Arabidopsis thaliana: one gene and its partners. The protein of the gene in region 1 interacts with the protein of each later gene in a pairwise test. Each region holds a gene or a part of one and is shown on either strand. Other genes may lie near its edges. The genes, in order: AT3G18570, AT3G29270 and AT1G78140.

Region 1 (3,304 bases):
AGAGTGAGACTTGGAGATTTGTTAGAGTTGACCACTTCTTGAGGGATATTAATGGATATCTCTTTGACTTGGTATTTTAATTTCTTGAATCAAAAAGATATTTTGTCGAAAACAACATGACTTGAAGTTGTAAAGGAATATCAGAATTGTGGGATATTTTTGCTTGTTATTTTGAATTACAAAATTTATGTAGACGATGTGTATTCCAAAAGAATTGTTAAATGCTTATTAACGGATACATAGGACTATGAGTTGTATTTTTGGTGACGACAAAAGCAAATTTCTTCTTCTTATTGACCATTTCAGCATGTGGGTTGAAATTGTCATTTAAGAGAGTTTTGGTAAAAAGTATTAGATTTGAAATAATTGAGGCACTTTATTCCAAAATATTCTAATCACTTTCTCCGCTCTTTAGCCCTTTAGGGTTTATGACGTTAAACCCAGAATCCAACATTTGACGATTCGATTCGAAAATCTCAGTGAAGATCGAAAATGGCGAATTCAATGGCTACACTTTCTAGAAGACTCTATCGATCTCTTCTATCGAACCCTAGAATTTCTCAAGCTTCCATGTCTTTCTGTACCAACAACATCACTTCCCCAGAAGACTCCGACTTTGACGAGTTAGAATCGCCCATTGAACCAAAGGCCTCAGATCCAGTTTCTCGATTTTCCGGAGAAGAACGCGTTATGGAAGAGCGTCCACTCGAAAATGGCCTTGACTCTGGCATTTTCAAGGTATCAAACTTAGATTCTAATTCCAATTGATACATACTCTGTTTTTGTTGTTTTTCTTAAATCGATCGTTGCAATTTTGCCTTTTGTATGATCTTTGTTGAGTCATTTTGTGAACATCATTAGATTCTCGTTCTGGATAGGTTAATAATTAGTGTGTTCTAGACTAATTTCTGGTTTAATACAGGCAATATTGGTGGGGCAAGTGGGTCAGCTTCCTCTGCAGAAGAAGCTTAAGAGTGGTAGAACTGTCACTCTCTTCTCTGTAGGAACTGGTGGGATCAGGAACAACCGGAGACCGCTTATTAACGAAGATCCGAGAGAGTATGCGAGCCGGTCTGCGGTGCAGTGGCACCGTGTCTCTGTTTACCCTGAACGCTTGGCAGATCTTGTGTTGAAGAATGTTGAACCCGGGTTAGTTCTCTTCTGAGATCATATTTAGCTTGTAAGGTTATGTGATGATAGAATAAGGAACAAATGTATGTATCATGTCTGATATCGATCAAGAATCGGTGAAAAAGGATGAAACTTTAGGTGAATCTTGCTTGCTAGATTCAAAATGGTAGCTTGCTTTTGTGTATGTGTCATAACAACTTGTTTCGTGTTCATTCAACAGTACTGTTATCTACTTAGAGGGTAATCTGGAGACGAAGATATTCACTGATCCTGTCACTGGTTTGGTTCGACGTATAAGAGAAGTAGCAATTCGTAGAAACGGTACTAATGGCTCAACCCCTAAAACTCCATTTCTTACATATTTCATTGGGAAACAATTAAATATTGATCTCTGTTTTCTCTCCTTACAGGCCGAGTTGTGTTTTTGGGAAAAGCCGGTGATATGCAGCAACCGAGTTCTGCTGAGCTTAGAGGCGTTGGCTACTACTGATTTTTAACATACAAAAAATTGTTGTCATAAAGGTACACAATTTGCTATTGTAGTATTTCTAGTTTCGCTTCTGTTGTCTCTTCTTGTAACTTGAAGGTTTGGTTTAGTGTTCTTCAATTGGCATTGGCCCTTTTCCATGGTTTTCGGCAAATAAACCCAAACCAAACCCAATCAATACGATTTAGACTAAACCGAATCTAAACCAAAATCTCGATTTTAGACAAAGTGAAAACCAAGACCAATCTCCACGTGTTTACAAACATTGCATGAATGCCACCTCAAAGCTGAATCTGTCCTCCATTTGTTTTACCCTTCCTCATTCTGTTCTCTGTCACACACACACACAAAACAACAATCGCTCTCTACAATGGCGGAAAGGTTCTCTAGCGGCGAGGCCCAATATTGGCCCAATTATGGTAGCACCGCCACCACCACCGTTAGCAACAGCCCCATCTCGTCGTTTTTCCATCAGCTCCGATCCCATTCACCAACATCCTCGCAGCTCTTTGGTTTCCTCGCTCTCTTTATCTCCACTGGCATCCTCCTCTTCCTCCTTGGTGTAAGCGTCACCGCTGCCGTGCTCGGCTTCATTGTCTTTCTTCCATTGATCATCATCTCGAGTCCGATATGGATTCCCGTTTTTGTCGTCGTTGGCGGGTTCTTAACGGTCTCCGGATTTCTTGTCGGAACGGTGGCTTTAGTGTCGTGGACGTACCGCTATTTCCGGGGAATGCACCCGGTTGGATCGAATCAGATGGATTATGCACGTAGTAGGATCTATGACACGGCATCTCACGTCAAAGATTACGCTAGAGAATACGGTGGTTACTTCCATGGCAGGGCTAAAGATGCGGCCCCTGGTGCTTGACCTGAACCGGTTGGTATAGTCTGGTTCAGGGTAGTATTAACCGATCACGGTTCGATTTATGGAGGAGGAACACGGTTCATGGTAATATTACATTTTCTTATTTTGTTTCCGTTTATACTTTATAAGATGAAGAAGAATATCTATCTAGTTATGTGTAATGTAAGCTTTGTGTCCGTCGCTTGAAATGTAATATTTCATTTTGTTTTTAAGTTTTTTTTCTATACATTTTTGGAGAGATACTTATATTATAATCAAATGTCTTCCGTTGTGTTTGAATTCGAAGAAACAATGAGAGTAAATAACTACCATTTTTTTCTATCTTCATTGCTTATTTCAGACGATATGGAAGAGCATGTTACATCCTTTTTGTGTTCTTTTTCTAATAATGAAAATTCCTTATTATAAATAGTCATGTTCAAAGTTTGGAAAAAAAAAATCCAATAAGAACCTTTTACAGTTAAAACCAATGACTTAATAACCCTCTTTATACGTTTTATACTTTTATGAACACGAGAATTGTCTATTTTTGTATTAATTAACACTGGACTGAAATCTAAAGAGAGAATACGGTGTCGGATGCAAACATGTTTATTAGTGAAAAAGGAAAGGATTGTAAAATGTTGGTAAGATTAAAAAATTATGTCCACTGGTAATTGGTTTGACAGGTTGCAAAGATTCCAAACTATTAAGAAAATCTTAATTCGAATGTTTACCGTTTATAGTAGCTAAATTAATGATTCACTGTGGGTTGATGCATGCACTGAGATAATTTATTATTGTAGCAGAACCTACTTTACCCTTTGTAGCTACTAGCT
Region 2 (4,512 bases), 4.8 Mb from region 1:
TTGATGCTTCTGACTTTGCTAATGATCTCGATGAGGTTGTCCTTGTGGAAAACTGAAATTTCTATCGTGTGGGGCTCGAATTAATATGTCATAAATAAATCGACGCTTGCTTGAAATTTCCTAAGTTTGTGTGTTTGTATTACCTATCATGTGTAATTATTGTGTGCTTGTGTTACCTATCATGTATAATTATCGGGTGTTATATGCTTGATTAATAAATTTATTTTCTACTTACCTTAATCGATTATGTTTATTTCAGAAATGGATCACATTACAAATGGAATGGTATCCAAGGCAAACCTTAGAGATATTTGCATACCGAATAGTGGAACAACACACACTATTCTAAAACAAAAAAAAAAATTCTCTCATTTGAAATCAACAAAAGTTATTGTTAACACAATATCAGGTCCCATAGACTTAATTGAATGGACCGGTAAAACAAATTTTGCATTACTTAACGGGACAAAGTTCTCGATAAATAATGCATTATTTTTACCAAATTCAAAAAGAAATTTGTTGAGTTTCAAAGATATATACCTTCATGGATATGACACTCAGTGTGCAAGTGAGAATGAAAAAAAGTACATGTATATCACTTCTGAAAAATTGGGAAAAAGACACGTTTTGGAAAAATTACCAAGACTCCCATCAGGATTGCATCATACATACATTAATTCAATAGGATCACATCTTGTTATCAAAAGAGATCATGATGATTTCACATTGTGGCACGATCGCCTTGGTCACCCAGGCACCACGATGATGCAAAAAATTATAAAAAGCTCACATGGACATTCAATGAAACCCTAAGAGTTTTATCAAGAAAATAAAAGGACATGTGTTACGTTTTCTCTTGGAAAATTGATTATAAGGCCATCGACAAGCAAAATCGATAAAGAATTACCAAAATTCCTTGAACGAGTCAAATGCGACATTTGTGAACCTATACACCCACCATGTATACCATTATATTATTTCATGGTAATGATAGACATGTCTAGTAGATGGTCACATGTTTGTTTGTTATCATCTTGAAATGTGGTATTTGCGAGATTTCTAACTCAGATAATCAAAACTAAGAGCTGAGTTTCCTGATTATCCAATCAAAGGAGTTAGATTAGATAACGTTGGTGAATTTACGTCTCAAGCATTCAATGATTATTACATGGTAACAAGAAAAAATGTCGAACATCCTGCACCCCATGTCCATAGTCATTCGAGGGAGAGCTTGTATGATTATACTTTTTTACCTTACTGTGGTTTCTACCAATGGATTTTATTAGAAAAGTTTTAACGAGACAACATGAAAGATATCGCAAAGAGATAAATGACAAATGAACTCTGGACGAGAAGAATGTTGCAAAAATTAAAGAAATATTTACATATTAAGTCCATTTGCATTTTATCTATATACACTCATATAGATAAAAAAAAAACAACGTAAAGTTTCTTTTATTATTATTTTTCTTTCGTGATTGTTCTTTTTCTCATATTTCTTCTTTTTAATATATTTATTATTATTCTTTTTAAAATATTAAAAAAATTGAATTGATAAATAACTTATAATACAAAATTCTATTAAATTATATTAATAAAATTAACCGCTCTGTGTTTTATTTTTTCAGAGGTTTACTTAATCTTCAATAAGCGTAAATGTTTTGGTTGGTAATGTTATTATGTTTATAAAAAAACAACTAACCAAGTTTTTACGTTAGAAAATATCAAAAACACTTTTGGAAGGAAAACTTGGGTACACGATTGAAACGACGTCGTTTATGAAAGCAAAACAAAACCCAGAAAGTTTAGGTCTCGCCGGAAAAATCGAATCAAGCATCTTCTTCTTTCACGTACGAAACAAAAAGCTCAGAGCAGAGTCGAATCGGTACGAATCTTTATCTAAATCACTCTGATTTAGTTTCGGTTATTGTGAACCATTTGATTGCTCTGTCCTTTCAATTATCTATCTAGGTTCGATTACTTCGTTAGCTGCTTAATTCTGTGATCAATTATCTCATTTAGTGATTTTGATTTTAGGGTTTTCTCTTTCTTCCTTTAATCTTATATTGGGATCTTCTGTATCGGATAAAGTCATAACCTTTGAGATAAAGGAATCATCTTTATTGCTGAAAATGATTGAGCTTTAGGTCTAATACAAGTCTGAGAGTCTGATTTCGATTCTGAGTATAAAAATTGAAACTTTCTATTTAGGGTTTTCTTAATCATTTGTGTTGCTATGGTTGCTTAATGTATCACTAAATCTTGGTCTTATTAGTTGGTTGCTACTGATATAGAATTGCATCTGTGAGTAAATTTAGCTCAAAGATAAAAGAGTCCCCTTTATCGCTGAAATGATCGAGCTTTGAGCTCTAATACAAGTTAAAGCGTTCGAATAATCGATTCTGATCATAAAAATTGAATCTTGCTATATAGTAGTTGCTTAATCATTTGTGTTGCCATGGTTGCTCAATGTAGCACTTAATCTTAGTTGATTCTTAGTTAGAATTGCATCGGTGAGTAAACTTGGCTCAAAGATAAAAGAGTCCCCTTTATCGATGAAATTGTCGAGCTTTGAGCTCTAATACAAGTTAAAGCGTTCGAATATCGATTCTGATCATAAAAATTGAATCTTGCTGTATAGTAGGTTCTTAATGATTTGTGTTACCATGGTTGCTCAATGTAGCACTTAATCTTATTAGTTGATTCTTAGTTGGAATTGCATCGGTGTGTCGTTGGGATTGTCTTTGAAGGATTAATATGTGTTTTCTCTTTGCTTATGAAGCGATGAAGCATCGAGTTCGGTGTTCATGAAGGTCAGAGAGTTAAGTATTAGCAGAACTGGTTAGGTCTTAGTGACAAACAAGGTATTCATGTTATCCATCCCTGATACTAGAATGTGGAATCTAGCATCGAGTTATCTTACGGGAAACATTGGACCGAAAAACGATATCAGAAGACCGGTCCATGCTCATGCGGAGTGTTCAGATGACGATGTATCTTCTGTAGGTAGTAAAGACGAAGGTCTCGAGTGTCCTATATGCTGGGAATCATTTAATATAGTTGAAAACGTTCCGTATGTGTTATGGTGTGGACATACGATGTGTAAAAACTGCATTTTGGGACTTCAATGGGCTATTGTGAAATTGCCTACTCACCCGGTTCAGCTTCCTCTCTTCATTTCATGCCCCTGGTGCAACCTTTTGTCTTTCCGTCTGGTCTTCAGAGGAACACTCAGATTCCCTCACAAGAACTACTTTGTGCTTTGGATGGTCGAGAGGATGAATGGAGAGAGACGTAACTCACCTGGTGGAGCTCAAACAGATGGAAACAATGATCATACAAGGGAAACTCCATCTCCATGTCTCCACAATCGCCATCATCGCAGTCAACCTGAACCATCACGTTCTGTTAATGATCATCGCATTCCAAGGGACAACATACAAACTTCACTGAGGAAGTCTCTGGTTTTCTTTGTCCAGTTGACAGCAAAGTTCCCATTAGTTGTCATATTTCTGCTGATAATACTCTATGCAATACCGACCAGTGCAGCCATATTGGCGATGTACATTCTAGTCACTCTCTTGCTGGCTCTACCGTCGTTTCTCATCCTCTACTTCGCTTATCCTTGTCTCGACTGGCTTGTTCGAGAGATTGTCACATGAACTTTCTAAGGATGCGTTCAGAAACTTCCCATTCCTAATTTGACGACTTTTCTTCAACAACTGAGACCCAAGATCGGTCATGTAAGTATAACAATTTCGTAATTACCGTCTTCTTTATCTATATATGGATGTAGTTTTGGATTGCATTGTTGCTCTACGAAGCTGGACGTATGTGTTGTAAGGGCTCTTGCAGAAACTTATTAGTATTTGTGGATTTGTTTGTGAGTGTTTGAGTGTCTCAATAAGATTTATGTATATAAAGTTTATGCAATGTTATTTAGGAATTGCGTAACTAAATGCATTGATTTTTCTTATATATAATGACTAAATTGTATGGGTTTTTTTTTCTTTTGTTTGTTTGTTCCACCCATTTCCATAGAAGAAAGCAAAAGATGACACCCAAAATTAGGGGTGGGTGTACGGCTTTTCGGTTTGGTTTCGGTTCGGTTATTTCTCTTTTATGTTTTCTATGAGTTCTAGTCTAGATCATTTGAGCTTAAAGCGTTAATTGTGTTCTACGATATGAAACAAAGACTCAAAGAGCATTCAAATATGATGTATACACAAAAAGAAAGAGTTAAGCTGTCTTAGTTTATGTGTCCCTCTTCCACCGCAGCAAAATCAAGCCCGGAAATCTTCATCGGTCCAATGTTAACTGGCAAAAACCCCGGTGTGTTGATTCAACAAAACAAGACAACATAAATGTAATGAGAATGGCACAAGAATAAAGTGTTGGTTTTACTTACTAACAGCATCAAGTCCAGCTAATTTGGGCATAAACTGTCTGATATGGTCCTCTGCTGCTTCATCTGCCTTCAATGTCTCACACTCGAACGAAACCGATACTTTC
Region 3 (4,741 bases), on another chromosome or scaffold:
TTAGCATCAGAGAGCTGCTTCTGTAGCTTATTAGCTGATTCATTCTCCATAGTCCCACTGAGCTCTCGCTGTTTCGCCACTTCAGGTACAGTAGCCGGCTTTTTAGGAGATAGATTTTCCTCTTCACCAAATGATATCTGGCTTATACCATTAACTGCTTGCTGAAAGATAATCAAGAGTTTCAGTAATATGACTAATAACATAACGGAACAAGTCTCACTCTCTACACAAACTGGTACCTGATAAACTGGTAATGGCTCTGACGCATCATCTTTTTCGTTACGAGAAAAGATCCCACTGCCAGTTATCTCCTTCATTTTATGTTCTGAGCAAGGCTTCCTAATGACATCATAAACATTTTCACAAGTTTTGACATTAGTATAAATAACCAATCTCATGAAGCTGTCAAATGCATCATCAAGAATCCTTAAATACAAGTCACACTTGAAGATTACTCTCTATGATCTAACTTTTGATGGCATAAACAGAGTATGAATTCAATTCACAAAAAGTTTTCAACTTTCAGATATATGGACAAAATTGGAAACTAATTTTCAAAGAAATCGAATTGGAAATGAAATAGTGATAAGGAAGTAAGTTTAACCTGCGGTTCAAGCTCTCAACTTCTTCATCGGTGACTTGACCACCAAACACCACTTTGCTAATCCCATCCGATGGCTACAAACACATTAAACCAAAATTGAAACAAATACTATTACCAGATTGATCAAAATCAAAGTGAAATTTCATGAATTTCGAAACGGTGCAAGTACCTGGTGGGAACGAACGGCGGAGCGAGAAGCGGAGGAAGGAGAATCCGGCGGTGGAACTTCCGACCAAGTAAGTAGATCTGCGGTCGATGTGTGTGGCTTTCTCACCGGAGTACTTCTCTCCATACTCTCTCACTCACTAGTCACTAGCAAGCAAACAAATCGAAGAGAATGAGAAAAATACAGAGAGGAAGAAGAAGAAGAAGATTAGTCTCTCTCTTTTCAGCTTCTTCTTCCCACTTGGTTTAAGATTAATCGATTGTGTTAATTGACTCTATTACCCTTTACTTTGTTCGTAAATCTCATTTTGATCTGGAAGCTTCTTCTCTACGCTGCCACGTGTGATTTAACAAGTGGTCATGATCATTAAATTCAAAATCAGATTTTCTAATCAGAAAATTGTTGTGATTAGTAGTATAATTTGTTGGCGTTTAACGGGAATATTCGAATACTTTTCTTCTTGTAAGGAATTGGGATTAATATTTTAGAATGTAAAAAAAGTTGTTATTAGGGAAAAAATAATAATTGAAGCGCATTAGATAGAATTATGGTCAATCATATTCTTCTCTTTTTTTTTCTGACACAAGACCATGTGAAGCCATCAAAACTAATAAAGACTTTTACCAACGTTTTATTTAAGCAGTGTGATCACGTGATGCCAACCTTTTATTAGCCATTTAGCATACAACATGTAATTTGATTAAAAGTGTAATTATTTCAAAAGCCGTGATTTTATCCTCTCAATTAGGCCTTCATAACTAAACTTAATTATTTTCCGCAATCTTTAATCCTGATTCTTCGTAACGAAAACTAAATTAGTAAATTCAAATTGTCACGGAGATATGCAGTTTTTTACACGGATCCTTAAAAGAACATGCGTCCAAATAAATTGTGGTTAGACAGGAATATACACAGTAATTTGATTAATTAGTTAATCTAGATTAAAAAACATGTAATCTACTAAGCCCAAAACGTTTAATTCGAAGCTTTATGTTGTTGTTGACAAGAAAATGAAGAAACCACTAGGCCCAAAACCTAGACCCAAACCAATTATATTGAACAATGTTTGGGCCTTTATTTGAGGATCCATCAAAGACCATAATAAAGGCTTCTCTTTCACAAATTCCAAAATTGTTAAGTTTTACCATTTTAAAACTTGTTTCCACGCATTTTGTGTGATTTCTTTCTTTGCCTTTAATAAAGCTTCGTGCTCAATAGGCTGCCACGGAGGCGAGCCTGAAAAATGCCGATGACGGTTGTTTCCGGTCGATTCTCAACGGCGTTGCTCCCTACTTGCTTTTCCTTGTCGCGGTTGCATTCCGTCAAGTACGCCGCTCAAAGACGGGTTGTTTTCGTTTCCAGATCAGCTCACGCCTCTTCAGCCTCCGTCTCCGTTGAGACAAATTCGAATTCGAATGTACGTGCCTTAGTTCTTCTCCAACTTTTTGTAGGAACAGATTCTACTTGTATATGTTATCATGATATTCCCGAAAGAAATCATAATTAGTTTTTTGTTTGAGTTTTACGTGTATTTGATACTACTTTGTTGTGAATTTGATTTTGCTTGATGATCTCGAATATCAGATGATTCAATTTGATTGGTGTGCAGGTGGATTTTGTTATCGAGAAGAAGGATAAGAACAGAGGAGAGAAGAAGATTCTAGCTTGTCCCATCTGTTATAACTCCTTAGCATGGATTAGTCAACCTAATGGATTAATGTGAGTTTTACTTTTCACTAATTTTTATCGTTTGTTCAGAAATTGGATTGAGAGAATAAGTGAATGTTCCAATTTTCTTGAGAGGCAAGTTATCGAAGTTTTGTATTTTACAGAGAATCTGCTGCCTCTGGTATTCAAGTACAATGCAATACATGTAAAAGGAGTTACTCGGGTAATGAGACGCATCTTGATTTGGCTGTTGCTAGTGGAAGCAAGAGATACAGTGAACCGATGCCTCTTTCCACTGAGTTATTTAGGTAGATGATATGCTTCATTGGATTCTTTGTCAATGTCCTGTCTTCTATGTGGAAACTGAGATTTTTTTGGAATTGTTTTTTTATAGGACTCCACTGGTCTCGTTTCTCTATGAGAGGGGTTGGCGTCAGAATTTCATATGGGGAGGTTTTCCAGGACCAGAGAAAGAGGTGAGACAAAAAAAACCTATCTCAATATTCAAAGGCCTCTTCTTTGGCGGCAATTATCTTTCAGGAAATGCGTCAAATTTCTGATTGTTTGTCCCATTTAGTATATTTCACTTAACATAATGAAGCTTACATTGATTAGCAATACATGAACCAAAAATTTAAGAACACTGATAAAGTTGCATTCCACAGTTTGAAATGGCTAAGGCCTATCTGAAGCCTGTTTTGGGAGGCAATATCATTGATGCTAGTTGTGGAAGTGGGATGTTCTCGAGGTTATTCACTAGAAGTGATCTATTTTCTCTGGTTATTGCTCTAGATTACTCAGAGAATATGCTGCGACAATGCTATGAACTCTTAAATAAAGAAGAAAACTTTCCCAACAAAGAGTTTGTACTTTCACCTTTTGCTTTCTTTATTGTCTTTAGATCTTGGGTTACCAGATGTGTTATTTTTACTCCTGCTGTCTCGTTTCCAGGAAACTTGTTCTAGTCCGAGCTGACATTGCTAGACTCCCTTTCCTTTCGGGTTCAGTTGACGCTGTCCATGCTGGTGCTGCTCTGCATTGCTGGCCTTCACCATCCTCAGCCGTAAAGCTTTTCTCCTAATTCAACATTTTACAAAAACAACACATACAATGATACATTGTGTTTATTTTCCCTTGGATCTTCTAGGTTGCTGAGATAAGCCGTGTTCTTAGACCTGGAGGAGTATTTGTGGCCACCACATTTATCTATGACGGTCCATTCAGTTTTATCCCCTTCTTGAAGAATCTTCGTCAGGTGTGTGTATAAGTTACTTCTAAGCCTTAAAACTTTCATTCATGTCTTGCATTTTCTTCTCTTTTGCTCCCTGAGGTGGTCTATGGCTGATTATGCATTCTGGTCATTCATAATATTGTAGGAAATAATGAGATATTCAGGTTCTCACATTTTCCTAAATGAACGTGAGCTTGAAGATATCTGCAAAGCCTGTGGTCTCGTTAACTTCACTCGTGTTAGAAACGGGCCATTTATAATGCTATCTGCAACAAAACCCAGCTAAGCTCACCCTCTTTAAAGTATATATACTTTTCTGTAAAAAATTGGTATAAAGTTATAAACATTATAACAACTTGAGTTCCATACAGTATACCTAATTTGTAAAGCTTTTTGCAAATGTTCCTATTATCTAGCTTGTAAATTGGGGTTAACATGGTTTGCAAAGGGGTCTTCTTCTTGTGAAAACTCAATGTCTCGATTGGAACTTTCTGGAAGAAGTTCACGCATCTCAGAATCTATAAAAGCTTCCATCCGAGCACGATCTCTGTCTAGAGGATAGGAACGGTAAAGAAAGGAGTATATGAAGCAGCAAGCCGCCATTGGGAGTCCTATAGATGTATAAAGAGCTTTTGCCAGAGATGCTGCATTCTCTCTATCTGTGGCTATCTCTGTTGACCTCGATGACCCTTCAGGGATTGGCTTGTATCCATAAACATGTTGTGCCAGGATTCCAACTATAGGAGGTGCAAACGATGACAAGATAGACTCAAACGATTTGTCCAGTGCGTAGACGCTTGTTCTTGATTTCTCTGGAACGATCTCTGCGAAGATTGGGCTGCGTTTGTTTCACCAGGTCAGCAAAAACAGTTAAACGATAGAGAGATATAAAGTCTTTAGGCATAGTAAAGAGAGAAACTTTACTTGTTGGTAGCAGGAGCATTCCAAGAAACAAATAGCCCCAATAGGACTAAGATCAGACCATGGATTGCAGCTGTAGATGGATCATCTGGTAAGACCAACAAGAGAATTGCAGCGAGCGGGATCGCTGAGGCTGAACTAATCTGCGCGA

The links.
Region 2: the proteins of AT3G18570 (region 1) and AT3G29270 interact in a two-hybrid assay, tested with the Arabidopsis thaliana proteins (one large-scale study listed by BioGRID).
Region 3: the proteins of AT3G18570 (region 1) and AT1G78140 interact in a two-hybrid assay, tested with the Arabidopsis thaliana proteins (one large-scale study listed by BioGRID).

What each region holds. Positions count from the first base shown.
Region 1 is NC_003074.8:6,395,257-6,398,560, reverse strand, and holds AT3G18570 (Oleosin family protein), read left to right. Parts: upstream 1-1,936; 5' UTR 1,937-1,988; coding exon 1,989-2,489; 3' UTR 2,490-2,771; downstream 2,772-3,304. Other genes in the region: AT3G18580 (Nucleic acid-binding, OB-fold-like protein), read left to right, coding at 493-738, 923-1,149, 1,352-1,452, 1,542-1,621.
Region 2 is NC_003074.8:11,232,456-11,236,967, forward strand, and holds AT3G29270 (RING/U-box superfamily protein), read left to right. Parts: upstream 1-1,717; 5' UTR 1,718-1,885; exon of another isoform or gene 1,886-2,782; 5' UTR 2,783-2,870; coding exon 2,871-3,662; 3' UTR 3,663-4,003; downstream 4,004-4,512. Other genes in the region: AT3G29280 (uncharacterized protein), read right to left, coding at 4,250-4,317, 4,409-4,512.
Region 3 is NC_003070.9:29,401,151-29,405,891, reverse strand, and holds AT1G78140 (S-adenosyl-L-methionine-dependent methyltransferases superfamily protein), read left to right. Parts: upstream 1-1,866; 5' UTR 1,867-2,013; coding exon 2,014-2,187; intron 2,188-2,379; coding exon 2,380-2,489; intron 2,490-2,602; coding exon 2,603-2,746; intron 2,747-2,832; coding exon 2,833-2,914; intron 2,915-3,103; coding exon 3,104-3,300; intron 3,301-3,389; coding exon 3,390-3,501; intron 3,502-3,585; coding exon 3,586-3,693; intron 3,694-3,814; coding exon 3,815-3,955; 3' UTR 3,956-4,077; downstream 4,078-4,741. Other genes in the region: AT1G78150 (N-lysine methyltransferase), read right to left, coding at 1-161, 240-426, 605-678, 774-896; UNE2 (Major facilitator superfamily protein), read right to left, coding at 4,078-4,507, 4,594-4,741.